Linked DNA regions of Pelodiscus sinensis. Each later gene encodes a partner of the first gene's protein in a complex. Links are inferred from orthologs where the notes say so. Each region holds a gene or a part of one and is shown in the gene's direction. Other genes may lie near its edges.

What was found.
Region 2: the proteins of ACVR2B (region 1) and GDF2 are in contact, whole or in part, in a crystal structure (PDB 4FAO), measured with the Homo sapiens proteins. The link is inferred for Pelodiscus sinensis from reciprocal best matches to the Homo sapiens genes ACVR2B and GDF2. Residues at the interface, in NP_001097.2 of Homo sapiens: Asn35, Glu39, Cys49, Glu50, Glu52, Lys55, Leu57, Tyr60, Ser62, Arg64, Val73, Lys74, Cys77, Trp78, Leu79, Asp81, Phe82, Asn83, Glu94, Gln98, Val99, Phe101; in NP_057288.1 of Homo sapiens: Arg333, Ile346, Ala347, Pro348, Lys349, Glu350, Tyr351, Glu352, Lys397, Ser399, Pro400, Ile401, Ser402, Val403, Leu404, Lys406, Gly410, Val411, Pro412, Thr413, Leu414, Tyr416, His417.

Annotation. Positions count from the first base shown.
Region 1 is NC_134712.1:245,474,640-245,481,860, forward strand, and holds the start of ACVR2B (activin receptor type-2B), read left to right. Parts: upstream 1-4,204; 5' UTR 4,205-5,049; coding exon 5,050-5,101; intron 5,102-7,221. UniProt on the Homo sapiens protein: Transmembrane serine/threonine kinase activin type-2 receptor forming an activin receptor complex with activin type-1 serine/threonine kinase receptors (ACVR1, ACVR1B or ACVR1c).
Region 2 is NC_134718.1:5,221,879-5,229,015, reverse strand, and holds the start of GDF2 (growth/differentiation factor 2), read left to right. Parts: upstream 1-4,121; 5' UTR 4,122-4,353; coding exon 4,354-4,684; intron 4,685-6,551; coding exon 6,552-7,137. UniProt on the Homo sapiens protein: Potent circulating inhibitor of angiogenesis. Signals through the type I activin receptor ACVRL1 but not other Alks. Signaling through SMAD1 in endothelial cells requires TGF-beta coreceptor endoglin/ENG.

The DNA of each region.
Region 1 (7,221 bases):
AAATGTATTAAATATTTTGGCTCTTCTTCTACATTTTCAGATGTATTGCATTATGTGTTGCAACTGAAATCCAAATATATATTTTATTACAAATATTTGCACTGTAAAATGATAAAAATAAATAGTATTTTTCAATTGACAAATACGTTAGTGCAATCTCTGTGTTCTTACAAATGTATATTTTTTTACATAACTGCACTCAAAACCATAATAATGTAAAGCTTCAGAACTTACAAGTTCCACTCAGTCTTACTTCTTGTTCAGCCAATCTCTAAGAAAAAAAGTTTACATTTGCAGGAGAAAATGCTACGACTTATTTACATCACAAGAAAGTAAAAACAGACACTTTTGTACACAGGCACTTTTTGCAAGGTATGCTAAACATTCATATTTCCCTTCATGCATTGTCCACCATTCCAGAGGACATGCTTCCATGCTGATGATGCTCTCTAAAAAAATAACATGTTAATTAAATTTGTGACTGAGCTCCTTGGCGGGAGAACTGTATGTCCTCTGTTCTATTTTACCCACATTCTACCATATTCCATGTTATAGAAGTCTCAGACAGTGACCCAACACCTGTTGTTCATTTTAAGAACACTTTCACTACAGATTTCACACAACACAAAGAAGGTACCAATATATTTGAAAACGTAGACTACAACCAAAATATTTAAATAAATGGGTTTCTATTAGTTTAACAATGCAATAAATTGCATGATTAATCACAATTAATTTTTTTACTCATGTGATTAATCACAATTATTTTTTAATCTCCTGACAGCCCTAAAAATATCCAAATATGAAATAATATAATAGAAGGAAGTTGTATCTTGGTGTTTGTGTGACAAATACTCTTCCACAGACAAGCCAGGGGGCCTTATTTGTCATTGATTTGTGCTTTGCAGTTTCTTGCACTTTTGCAAACTGAGTGTCTGTGGCTATTTGTAGCATTTTACACCTACTTTGCAGAATTGTGAATGAAAGTGCAAAGCAGTGAAGAATTAGGCCTGCTGGTAATCACCTATAGCTGGCCAGAGAAGAATGGAACCACTGTGGTTTAATAATGGAGATATAATTTAAATATACAGAGGACTGGATTAGGTGTTCCAATCTCTAGGTTCCAATTCTAACTCACTTGTGGTGTTGGACAAATCAGTCACCCAGTTTGGGCCTCTGTTTACTTCTAGGTGGGTCATAAAGTTTAATTAAGGCATAGCTTTACATGTGCTTTGAGATCTGAACGAAAACAGCTAAGTTTTAAGCCATCTGCTGTGGGGCTGTGTTTTGTATAGAACGAACAGGTTACAGTAGAATGCTTTTGTCAATGTAGCCAACATTGTTCAGAGCATTAGTGTCCTAGACTGGCAGAAAATGCCCTTCTATAGTTTTACTCTGCATCTACATTATGGGGCACTGCTAAGCTCATGGGTGGTTGATGAAGTTAGGGCCTCACCTCCAACGCTGCCCCTTCTGCTGAGGCTCTGCTCCTTCCCTGCCCTCACAGGGAAGGCAGGTGAGTAGGTGGGTTTGTGCTTGCCCCAGCCTCCCCAGCCCCAGAGCACCAGGGGAGGGAGGAATGTGCAGGGGGCACAGTGTAGGTAGGGCCATGCCTGTCAGTTTGGGAATGCAAAGCCTTCCCCTGCCTAGGCGAACAGATGCCCATGGCTAAGCTGACAAAGCTATGCCAGTATAGTCTATGTAGTGGTGACATGCCTTCTTCTCTGTCTTGTGTTCTCCTTTGCCACACGTGACCAGTGGTATCTGTCCTCTTGAAACATTTTTGTAGGTCTTGTCTTTGCTCTGTGGGATGTGGTTTTTCCCTCTTTTTCTTGCTACCTGTAATGTTACTCCCTCTACTTTATTGATAGGTGACTTGCATTTTCACTAGCTGTTCCACATGCACCACCTGTTAGTGCAAACTTACTCTGTAATTTTTCTGAAAGTGCCTTTGCCATATAGAAAATCACAACTACTGCATGCATTTTTCCATCTCACATGCATTTTTCTTTACTGGTATCAAAGTCATAATAATTTATTTGTTCTTAGGAAGCCTTTTATGAGTTAGGAGAGTGTACCAATTATGAATCAGGATCCACTGTGCTAGACATACAAACATAAAACAAAAAGATGGTCCCTGGCCACGAGCTCTTATAAAAGTATTCCCAGGGAGCCTCTAGATTTTGTTTAAAGCTTCATGTTTGTGATCTCTCTAAGAAGTCCTCCCACTGTTCTACCAATAGGTATGGGTTTGGCCCCCACAGGACCCCCCATGCAAGTAGCCTGCAAGTGCATTAACCCAGCTTGTATTGCATTAACTTGGGGAGAGAGGCTGGAGGAAGTGTTCCCTCTAAGATTTTCCTCCCATGAGTGGAGTGAATTTTGTCTTGTGCACCACTATTGAGTTCATGTGCGCTTGTTCAGATGTGTGCCACTGTTATTTATTTTATGATATTTATTAATATCTTATAAACTTCTCTCTTGTCCCTCTGCTGCCATGTCTCCTCCCCTTACCCCATCTGCTCCCCTGGTGCTTGCTGCTGCCCCCCTATCCCTCACTCTCTTCTGGTGTCCTGGCTCCTGACCTTCTCACTCCCGTCACCCCTTTGGGGACCTGTCCCCCTCCCCATCCTTCTTGACCCCTGCACCAGCCCATCTCTTCCCCCTGTGTCTACTCCGCCTCTAGCCCTACTCTGATCATCTGTAGCTACCCCTTCCTATCCTCTCTGCACAGCAGAGGCGGTCCCACAGGGACAGTGGAGAGAAGAGGTGCCGCATACCTCCAAAAGCTGGTCTGGCTGCCTGCTGGCAAAGATCCAATGGTGCTGCCTATGTGCTTTGCCAAGGGGAGGGTGGTGGTGAAGAAGGAGGCTGCTGTATCATGTGAGGAGCAATGGCACAGAGTCATTTCTTGGTTGCTTCTTCCTGCAAGCCGCTGTCCCATCAGGTAGTGAAATGTCTGGCAGGGCTTTCTGGGACATTTCACTACTTGATGGGGACACCAGGACAGAGTATTTAAAGTCAGGACTGTCCCGGAAAAATCGGGATTGAATGTCAGTGTATCTATAGGTGTTTTACCACTGCCTTTAATGGAAGCAGAGTTAGGCCAATGCTGACAGCATTTGAAACTCCCACCCTAAGACTTTATCGCATAACAAGCTATTTAAGTGTTGACAAAGTGCAGCTGGTCTGAAACACCCCCGTAAATCTCTCTCAGAAGAAGACTTCCCGCGTTGTTTGATCTGCTGGGTCCCATTTGTCACTACTGGCCATATCTGATTTAATGGCAGTTGCTTTGTAGTAGGAGGGCATGTTTGCCAGCTCTCTTCATTCTTCCAAGGACACTCTTTCTTCATGACTTTCTGATAACGTCTTCTATGATTTCTGAGAGAGAACACATTTTTCTTGCACTCTCTGGCTTTCAGATGTTGGAGCAGAAGGTGACTGATCGCCCCCTCAGTCCCTGCTCTCTCACATCTGTTGCTGGACTGTCCTCTCTCTCCAGTTTTGACTCTTGTGGCTCCCCATTTCCACCTCTGGCTTACCAGCAGGGATGCAGCATTAGCTGCCTTCCCCCCTGTACATCCCTGGCGGGACGGGGCAGGCTAAAGCGACAGTGCAGTCCAGAGAGCTGGCGCCAAGAGCCTCTGAAACTCACCGCCACAAGAGAGGAGCAGGAGCGTGGCTGGAATCAGAAAGCGGCCAGGATGAGTCACAGGGGGCACGGGAGTAGCAGGTGGGAGGTCACCCACCGGCGCCAAAGTTTGGGAGGGACATAAAACCTCCTGCGTCGGGGCTGACACCAACCTCCGCCGGGGGTGGGGGTGTCCCCGAAATCCCCCCCACCCGGGGCAGCTCACCCCCTCCAAGCTCCCACCAGCCCCTCCGGCCCCTTCCTCCCTGGCATCTGCGCCTGGCCCCGAGCCACCGGCAGGGCGCGGGCGGGCAAGTCCTGGCCTGTCACTGGAGGGAAGGGGGCCCCCGGCCGGGGGGGGGGGCTGCCCGGCGCTCGCCCTCCTTTCCCGCCCCCGCCTTGACGGGCAGCGCCTCCCCCCACTCAGCGGCCGGGCTGCCTCAGCCCCCTCCGGCCCCCGCCCCGCCGCCCGCCTTTGTATCCAACATCCGGGTCCCCCGCCGGCTCCGGCTCGGCTTCTCCCCCCGCAGGAGCCATTTTGGACTCGGTTCAGGATTTTTTTTTTTTTTTTTTTTTTTTTTTTTTGTACATGGCCCCTCCAGAGCCAGCCTCTGCCGCCGCCCTGCCCCGCGCCGGCCGCCGCCGCCCGCTCCCCGCGCGAGCGATGCCTCGGGCCGGACCCTCGCCCCAGCCAGCCCCGCGCGCCACTGCCCGCCTCGGAGCCCGCTCCCTGCGCTCCTCCTCTCTCAGCCGCCGCTCAGCCGCCGGGGCAGCCACCGCCTCCTCCTCCTCCTCCTCCTCGGCAGCCGCTGGGCTGGTGCCTCCTGCTGCTCAGCAGCTTCCCTGGATGCTGGGTTGGTAACATTGCTGCAAAGTTTCGGGGCTGCCGCCCGCTTTGCATTTGGTGGTGGCCGCCCGGCTGCGGGGGTCGCGCGCGTGCTGCTGGGGGTTGCTTATCTCCCCCTCCTCCTTCTCCTCCTCCTCCTCCTCCTCCCTGTCTTTTGGGTGCGTGCGTGTTGTTGTCCCTCGTCCCCGCTGCTTGGGGCAGGCAGAAGGGGCTGGGCTGGGGTGGGGGGTGGGGGAGAGAGAGTTGGTGTGTTGCACGCTTGTCTCCCTTGCACAAAAGCCCCGGCCGAGCAAACTCTTGGAAAGCTCGGAGCAGGAGCCGGACGGCTACCGGGCTACAGCTGTCCTGGCGCTGCCATTTGGTGCCCCATTCGAACTGGATACGTTGTTGCAACTGTGAAGGAACTCAACTCGCTTTTGTGGGAGCCTTATTTTTGTTGTGCTTGTTTTTCGGGAGCGATTCTCATTTTCCTCCAACCTCGCCCCCCGCCCCTTTCGCTCTCCCGATCGGTTTTTTCCCCCCTTGGGGGTAGAGGGGGAAACACAAGGGGGGGAAAAAGTAAAGGAATATGATTGCTTCGTGGTTGACTTTCGCCTTTCTTTGTGGAACTTTCGGTGCAGGTAAGTAAATTTCTGTCTTTCCCTTCACCAGTTTTGTATTAACATTCGAAAAAAGAATCAAATGGTGTGCAGTTATTCGAAACTACCTCCCTTTCCCCTTAAATATCCCTTAACTGCAACGAATAGTGGGGGGAAAAGGCTGTTCCTAAGATTTTTTTTTTTTAGAAGAAACCCTCCTGTTTTCGTTGTTGGTTTTGATATCAATGGATTATGTTTCTGCAGTGTTCCTTTAATTAAGCAGAGTGTGAATGAATTAGTGTTCCTGGCCTCAGATTCCTAGGAAACTTTGTAAAATGGCATGGTGTGTGTCAGAATCGAGTTGAACGTAGTAAAAAAAAAAAAAAAAAAAAAAAAAAAAAGAAAACCTTTTGGTTGTTAGTAACTGTTTTGTTTTTCAGGTAGAGAGAGCCATATGTTTTTTACTCCCGGGTTTGCAAGGTTGCGTTGTGTAAATTGCTTGATTTCTTTCCCCCTTCTCTTTTTCATGAATGTGTTAATTTCGTGTGAGTTTACTAGCCCTTAAGAAACGTTGCTCGCCTTTTCCACAAGATTCTTCTTGATCGTGTCTTTTAATTCTTTGAAAGGGACCGTTTGTAAATAGCTTGCCAGAGTTAAACGGTGCTGATAGTCGGTCGAAGCGTGTCTCTCCTCCCTTACCCCCTTAATGAAATGTTATGATCCCATAGATTTTTTGCTATTTTTATGAGATGTGTCATTTAGGCTGATTTGTGACACGGTGACATAATAGAAAGTTGTAAGAGAGAAGCGGAAGAACCCATCTTTTGAGAGGCTTTTTTTTTGGGGGGGGGGGTATTTTGTTTTTAAACCTTCCCTCGTGATCCTTTTGAAAACTTCACAAATCTGCAGGGTTTGCATTTTCATGGGGATATTGTGTGGCATGATGGAACTTAATGTAAACATTGGACGTGCTAAGGGGATCAGAAGGCCATGCTACAAAATGAATCTTCCAAAGCGTTGAGATACATTTGATTTACATTTGCTTTAGCTTGAAGAGCTGTCTTTTTGGGGCAAAAGGGGCGTGGTGGGGCGCGCATGTGACACTAACTGTGGGTTTTTAGGGGGTAGTTCAGTGTTTCAGGGATATGTGGTGTGTACTTATGAAAATATTCCCTTTCTGCTAGGTCTGTTGAGCTATTACAAAACCGGAGTGTCCCCTTTGTCAAGGGGGAAAGAGGTGTTTTTTTTAGCTAGAGCCATTTCTGGGAGGCGAGCCTTAGCGTTGTAGGGCTGCTTTGTTGTGTGGTTTCCCTCCTTGTTTTGATGAGGAGTGGAGAGGAGGAGAGCTCACCCTTTGGGGATTGGTAAAACAATGATCTAGGTTACAAATCGCACACAGCAACACAATCTTTTGATCCTACAGACACGTACATGAATGTTATTAATATGGGTTTGTTACAAAATAGAAAGACTTAATTATTTGACCCCCCCCCCCCCCCCAAATCAGTGCATTTCCCTCCATGGACCATGGTTCCAGGGCTCATTTTGCAAGGGAAAGGAGTGATTTCCCACTAGTACACGGCAATTTTCTTTTTTTGTTTTTATCTCCTCCGCCCCCCCCCCCCCAAACATAATAGATCCTAATCTGATCTTTATTTTGTCACATCTGGTGTTCTGATAGGGGAAGTCTGTGTGTAGTAACTTGTTACGTTGTATCCAATACCGAACAGAGACAGGGTGGTTGGTGTGGTGTGTATTTTTAGGGGGTGGCGGAGGCGTTGTGAATAAAGGATCGCAGGAGGCTGCTAGTTTTAAAGGGGGGAAGTGTGCTACAGTTGTACCCTAGGCTGCTTGTGTGCATCTGATGTGAATGCAGTTTTCTTGTCCTTTGGCTATTTTTATTTTAAATTTGGAGAGACGGGGGTGGGGGGAGATTTCCCACTGCGTTGGTTAGATGGTTTCTTACTGGAAACCGGGAGGCGACCCTGTCCGGTTCTGCAAAGAGGGTCGGGGGGGCAAAGGGCGCGAGATCGGGTTGGGTTTGTTTTGGAATGTGTTCCCAGGAATCGTACTAGCTGAAATCTACCAGGCGCAAGGTTCTTGCTGCTGGTGGTGGTTCTTTGTTCCGAGTGCCCATTAAATATGCAGTGCCACTGCCTGGG
Region 2 (7,137 bases), on another chromosome or scaffold:
CTGCTCCTGTTCGGGCAAAAGTCCTTTTCCAGAAAACTGTTCCGGAAAAGGGCCAGTGTAGACAGCACAGATTTCTTTTCTGCAAAAAAGCCCCGATCGCGAAAATGACGATTGGGGCTTTTTTGCGGAAAAGCACGTCTACATTGGCACGGACGCTTTTCCGGAAAAAGTGCTTTTCCAGAAAAGCATCCTGCCAATGTAGACGCGCTTTTTCCGGAAATACTTATAACGGAAAACTGTTCCATTTTAAGCAGTTCCGGAAAATCATGCCAGTGTAGACATAGCCACTGGGTGCTCTTAAAACGCAGAAGACCTGGGCTCCATTTAAGAGTTACGCCTGCAGAGCTAACTTTTGTGTTCAGATCTGCGAGCGCAAGAAATCACAACACCGGCCCAACATTGCGATGCCAGACAAAGGCCTAGTCTAGGCACAGTTGGATACTTTGCTCAAAGAGCTGGCATAAATCATTCTGCCGAAGGAACTCTTGCTGCTACAAGTTGCATTTCCACTGGGAGGTTTTGCCGGGAGAGCCAGATGGGCAAAGCTTTTAGGTTTTAAAGGCCTAGCCTAAGATTTTTCCAAACGGAGTACTGATTTTAAGGCCCTTTGTGCTGGGTTGCCCCATTGGAGACACCCGTGGGGCTTTTCAGACAGCGTAGAGCATTCGCCGTTTCAAAATCACGTCCCTCTAAGACAGGTCAAATTTGGCATCCAAAAATTACGTGTCACTTGAAAATCTTGACCCTCAGCCGATGACTTTTGAGCTATGACATGGTGAAAGAGAGTCTGGAATTGGAGCACCTGAAAAAAATATCACTTCAGGCCATTGGGTCTCAGACTGTGGGGTCAGGACCCCAAGATGGATCCAATTTGAATGGGGTTGCCAGGGGCAGCTTAGACTTGCTGGGGCCTGGGGTTCAAGCTGGAGTCCCCCTGCCCAAGGCCAAAGCCAAAATCTGAGCGCGTCAGCCTTGGGTGGGGCTCAGGTTACAGGTCCCCTGTTACGTCCTTGGTGCTTTAGCTTTGGCTCTCCCCAGCCCTGAGTGATGGGACTCAGGCTTTGCCCCCACCCCACCTGGGGCAGTCGGGCTTGGGTGGGCTCAAGGTCCGGTCCCCTCTCCTGCAGCCATGAAGTGGTTTTTGCTGTCAGAAGCGGGTGGCGGCGCATGAAGTTTGCTCCATCCCTACTTGGCCGCAGGGGATGCCAGTTCCAGGGCTGAGCAAACTCCTGTGGACAGAAGCCATCAAGTGTTGCCTACTTCTGGAGTAGGAAGTGGGCCTGAAACACTTGCCCATGTATCACAGGCCTGGCGAGAGACCCGAGGCCTAGGCAAAAGTAGTCAAGACTTTGCTAATAGAAAGCACAGTGGAGCTGTGAGCAAGAAGCGCTTAGGTTCAGCTCCGACTCCTACAGAACCAGTGCGAGTTGGCTCAATCCTTTAGGCTTTGCCGTAAACGACTGCGATTGCTCGTTAGCTGGGGGAGTGACAGCCTTGCTGCCGTACCCTGACTCCAGTCTTCTTTTGAAGGGGATGTGCTCAACCTATCTCCATCGGTGGCTGAGAGCATCCTATATATCCCCTCACTGGTGACCCCATGAACTGAGGAAATCCTTTCCAGCCTGTTAGCTCCTGAGGAGACTGTTATAAAAATATTTCCCTCAGTAGATATTGTCTATCAGCAGGCCCTGAAAACTTGCACCGAGTGTACAAAAGAAGTTGGCTGAGGAGATCTCTGGTTCACTGATGTTAATCTACTATATATCTGAGAGAGTTTGTCTGTCTGTCTGTCTGTCTGTCCAAGAACTCCTCAGCGGGAAGAGCTAGGACCACCACATTCGGGAAGCAGCTTCCTCTTGTCGTGGCTTAAAGCAAGGTCAGGTTTCGGTTGTGCCAGGACAATGGGGAGTGCGTGGAATGGGATTGCGTCTCATCAAACCATGCAGAAAAGAGACAGACTTACCAGGCAGGTGAAAGAGGCTGGCTGCACGTGCACCCTTCCCCCCCATCTTAGACTGCTCCAGCTCCGAGGCTCCTACCCCCCATGCACCCTTTAGGGAAGGCGGGGGGTGGGGCTGAAGCTCCCTCCTGCTCCCATTTGTAGGGGAACATTGCTGGCGGTTCCCCTTCATCAGGGAGTGAGGGGAGTGCTGTGTTTGCTGCATTCCTCTCTCTGGCTGGAGAGGGCAGGGGGCAGATGAATCCGGACCTGCGCCAGCCAGGGAACAGGCACGCCTCCCCCAGCTGTGCCCACTGGCGCTGCAGTGGCCTTGCAGAGGCGCTTCTCACTTGACCCCAAGCGGCTGCCATGAGAGGGTGCTGGGGTAGTCCTCTCCCCTGTGAACTGAGCCCCTCCTCCCCAGCCTGACTCCAGAGCAATGATTCAAATGAAGCGTGAATATTTTTATTGTATTTTCCAAAACCCAAAAATTGAGTCAAGGACCCCAGCAATGCCGGGTAAACTTCCGGTGTGTCCTACATGGTAGAATACCTGGGCTAACATTGTGCCGGTATTTAAAATGGGCAAGAGAGGAGCTGGATAACAATAGGTGGGGTAATAAGAAATCAGTCCTGGACAAGATAATGGATAAGTCACCTCTAGTTCAATTGCTGAAAAACAAAGAGGAGGGGATAAAGTCATCCCAGCTATTGCAACCAGCAATGAGGTCTAGAGGCAAAACCTTTCCTGGGTCTTTGCAATGGGATATTTTGCTGAGGAACTGAGATCAATCAGACAACATGGCACCCAGATACTAGGTGTCAATTGGTTCTCTAAAAATACAGCGTCTGTGTCTACATTGGCACCCCTTTCCGGAAAAGGGATGCTAATGAGACACTTCGGAATTGCAAATCCGCGGGGGATTTAAATATCCCCTGCGGCATTTGCATGAACATGGCTGCCGATTTTTCCGGCTCAGGATTATGACGGAGAAAAGCGCCAGTCTAGATGCGATTTTCCGGAAAATAAACCCTTTTCCGGAAGATCTCTTATTCCTACTTGGAAAAGGGTTTATTTTCCGGAAAATCATGTCTAGACTGGCGCTTTTCTCCGGCATAACCCCAAGCCGGAAAAAAGTGGCAGCCATGTAAATGCAAATGCCGTGGGGGATATTTAAATCCCCCGCGGATTTGCAATTCCGAAGTGTCTCATTAGCATCCCTTTTCCGGAAAGGGGTGCCAATGTAGACACAGCCAGGCAGAATTGGTAACATTATCATCTACACTTGGATTAGAGCAGATTAGGCTCAATTAGATTCAGCTGCAAGTCATCTTTTTAATGTTTTAACTGGAGAGTTTCCTCCTGGAGATGCACAAAACTCTACCACAATTCTTATTTTTGTCTTGGCCAATATTCCCATGAAAAATCAAACATCTCCCTGGCTCATGTTCAGTGACTTCATAGAGACTTTAGGTTTCACTCCGGCTTAGTAAACCTGGCTTTATCTTCAAGAACAATTAGTCATTCTTGCAGTGACAGAGGAATGAGCTAGTTAAACCAGCGACCTCATGTAGAGGATTCTAAGAAAATACATTACATAACATACTACAAAGCCAGATTTTTTTTTTTACCCTTCCACTAAAGGATGCAAACTAAAAATGGACAAGCCGGCTAACAAGTTGAGGCAAACTTGACACAAGACAGATAGCTCACTCTGTACAAATAATAGCTCTTGGCCGATAAATGGAAAGCAATTTTAAGACTGTTCGTATTGTCATGAGAGCACAGCTTGCTAAAAGCACAGGGTTCAACCAGATGGTTGATTTTCGGAGGACAGGCGTAAAGGACCGTGGTATAGATTTGAGGGGTGATATTTTCTCCTGGCGAATTGAGTAGTTTGTTCTTACTCCCTGTTGTTATTTTTTTGGCATGGGGTGGAGGGGGGAAGTAGGGAAAACCAGAGTCTTTTCCTCCACCCCACCCCCCGCCCCGTTAAAAAAGTTCCTCTGAAGCCCTGTCAATGTTGGCCAACCCCGCCCCCAACGATAAAAGAGCATAATTAAGCAACGATGACCCTGCAGAGAAATGTGGATTCTTTGCAGCATACAATGTCCAGCCACATGTTTGTCAGATGTTTACAGAATCTTCATTAACGAAGAGCTTTGCAAGATAACAGAAACTGAAGCATGGCATCATGGCTTGAGATAAGGGCAAGTGTCCAACCAAGCTGCCTGACAACTGACAAGAGGCTGGGGGGTTGCAAACGAGCTCGAGAAAGTGATTTGCAAAGGGCTCTCACTCCAGTGGCTCGCCTTCCGTCTCCCGTTCTTCTGCCTCGAACGGGAGGCGCGATCTAGTCAGCTGGAAGAACCCGGTCCTTTTCCCACTTTCCGACGGAGGCGCATCCGTGAAAGATGTGCTCGTGGGGGGCGACGGCGGCCTGGCTGGTTTTCAACATCATCGCTTGCGTGGCAAGAGGCAAGCCCTTGGAAGCCTGGGGTAAATTATCAGAGAAATCCTTCGGTGAGCCCAGCGAGGTGGAGGGCAAGACCCCTTTCAACTTGAAAGCCTTCCTGGAAAACATGAAAGCCGATTTCCTGAGGAGTTTGAACTTATCCGGCGTCCCTTTGCAAGAGAGGTCTAGAGAGGAGCCCCCGCAGTTCATGATCGATCTGTACAACAAGTATGCCACGGACAAGTCTTCCAGCCCGGCCTCCAACGTCGTGCGGAGCTTCAGTGCAGAAGGTATGAAATGTCTTACACCTATAGACCGGGGTTGGACAAGAAGCTAGAGAGTCCGTGTCAAATCCCATTGCAAATCAAAGGGACTCAGGCACCTAACTCCCTTGGGCTTCTTTGGAAAATCCCCGGCATAGTCTCTTTTGTTATCCTTTCCGCTGCTCTTCTCTTATACTCTTCCAGGTCCTAAATCCTTTTCTCTGAGTCCACATTGTGCCCTCTTGCTTCTCCAAGAAGCAAACGAAATATTCCAACTCTCCAAACAGAGTCACCACAACTTGGCTGCCTTGCCTTTGTTTTGGGGCTGAGATTTGGGGCTGAGCTGCAAAATTTGGGGGTAGGTTTTCCAACACCCCCAACTCTGGAGGATGTTTGGCCCTTGGGCATTGCTCCAGCCCTTTGTAAAGACAGGAGTCGAACGGGAAATGGGACTCCCGATTGCTGCTAGGAACACCAGCCTTTGCATTCAGAGATCGGGAGTGAGTGGGGCTGGGGGGTTTGGTTCAGAGCCCCGCTCAGCACCTCAGGAACATACCCGACCATCCAGGGCTTAATTTGTGCCAGGCCTTGCCCAGGCAAAGGCCCTAAACCTCTCCACTCAGTAGCAGTCTCTAGGCTGGCCCTAGCACCTCTGGGCTTCCTGCGTCACTTACGAATGTAAAAAATTCCTTGCGGCCCAGCACCTTTTTCAGCAGAGTTTCAGCCATCTAAGACAGCACACGACTCAATCCTTTTAAAAGCCCTCTCGTTAGAATCAATAAAAGGGGCGGGGGTGTTTTAAGTGAATTTGGTGCTGGCCGAAAGAACCAGCCAAGACAAATTCAAATGTCCATGTATCTAGACCCAGCACAGACGACAGCGTGGCAGCCGTCTCCACATTCCCGCACAAGCACACCCCCTTCTCGGTGTGAGCTAGGGTGCAGGCTCCCTGGCCCCTCCTCTGCTCTGATTGGCCAGGGAGATTGGGGAAGATGCTTTTGGCAGGGTGGATGCTTGTGAGATGACACCCACCCACCCATCTCACAGCCATCAGCTGGGGGTAACTTACCAAAACCCCTTACAGACATGCCTCGCACCTCCAGCTCCCATGGCCTTTGGCTGGAATTACGTCTCTGACTAGCCAGCCCTGCCCGGGAACAGAAGCAGGGATTGGGAGAGGAAAGGCTCCATTTCCGAATACCAAGCTCCCAAGCCAGCCGGAGCCAGGAGCTTCTCCATCAGACTTGCAAAGGGTTTGATCGTCCACTTTGGTTCCTCCCTAGTGCAAGATGTTTTGTGGGGAAACTCAGCTACGATAGCTATAAACTAGAGATGTAGGTTCCATATCCCTATGCCTGAGCCTCCCCCTCCAGGGGAAGGGGAATTTGCCCCAGCTCACGATCATGGTCGTGGGATTTGTACTACCAACCCCCAGGGAGGTTTACAGCTGTAATTCCTCTGCAGAGGCCACATGGCAGAGCCTTTATGGGAAGCCACTGCATTTGCACACGCCCCTCATGAGCCAACACCACCCACTTTTGGAGCTGTGCTGGCACCTTGTGTGTGGACACATCACACTCATGTACACACACACACACACACACACACACACACACACAGGGAGTCTGAAGGTGAGGTTACTGTGGATCACAACTTGATCCCTGGTGGATTTGCTACCCATAGGGACCTCCCTCTGGGTTTCACTCTGGAGTGAAGCCAGTTCATTTATTTAATACTGGTGGCCATGGTGTAACGTCACTCCCAGCAGCTACTAGTAACGGGTGGGCATTTCTTCTGAAACATAGCATGCCACCGGCGAAGTGCGTTCGTCTTCATTGGATTAGCCTCTATCCTAGGAGGCAGGGTGACCGCCTCTCTTAATTTCCTCTTGCAGATGTTGTCTCTATGGCTTCCCCAGAAGAAAATCCATTTCAGAAACACCTCTTGCTCTTCAACGTCTCTATCCCCCGGCACGAAGTCATCACCAGAGCTGAGCTGCGACTCCACATTGCCTGCAGTAGGGACGTCGGGCCTCTCTCAAGGCTGGAAGGCAAGTTAGTCATTTATGATGTTACCGATAGACATCTCTGGCAAAGCCCAGAAGGCGCCAAAGCCTTCCTTGTCTCCCGAGAGATCCAGGAATGCGGATGGGAAATGTTTGAGGTGTCCGGTGCTGTGAAAAGATGGGTCAGGGCAGACAAACCCAAGACCAAAAACAAGCTTGAGGTTGTGGTGGAGCGGAAAACCCAGGGGGACTCCGTTTATGGGAAACTGGACATCAGTGTGTCGCCCGACACGACACAACTGCCCTTGCTGGTAGTGTTCTCCAACGACCACAGCAACGGGAGCAAGGAGACCAGATTGGAGCTCCGGGAAATGATAGTTCATGAGCAGGAGAGCATGCTGAAGAAGTTAGCCAAGAACAGCACTTTGCCTGAAGAGGAAGAGGAGGGAGAGGCGAAATCCATATCCGACCCCGG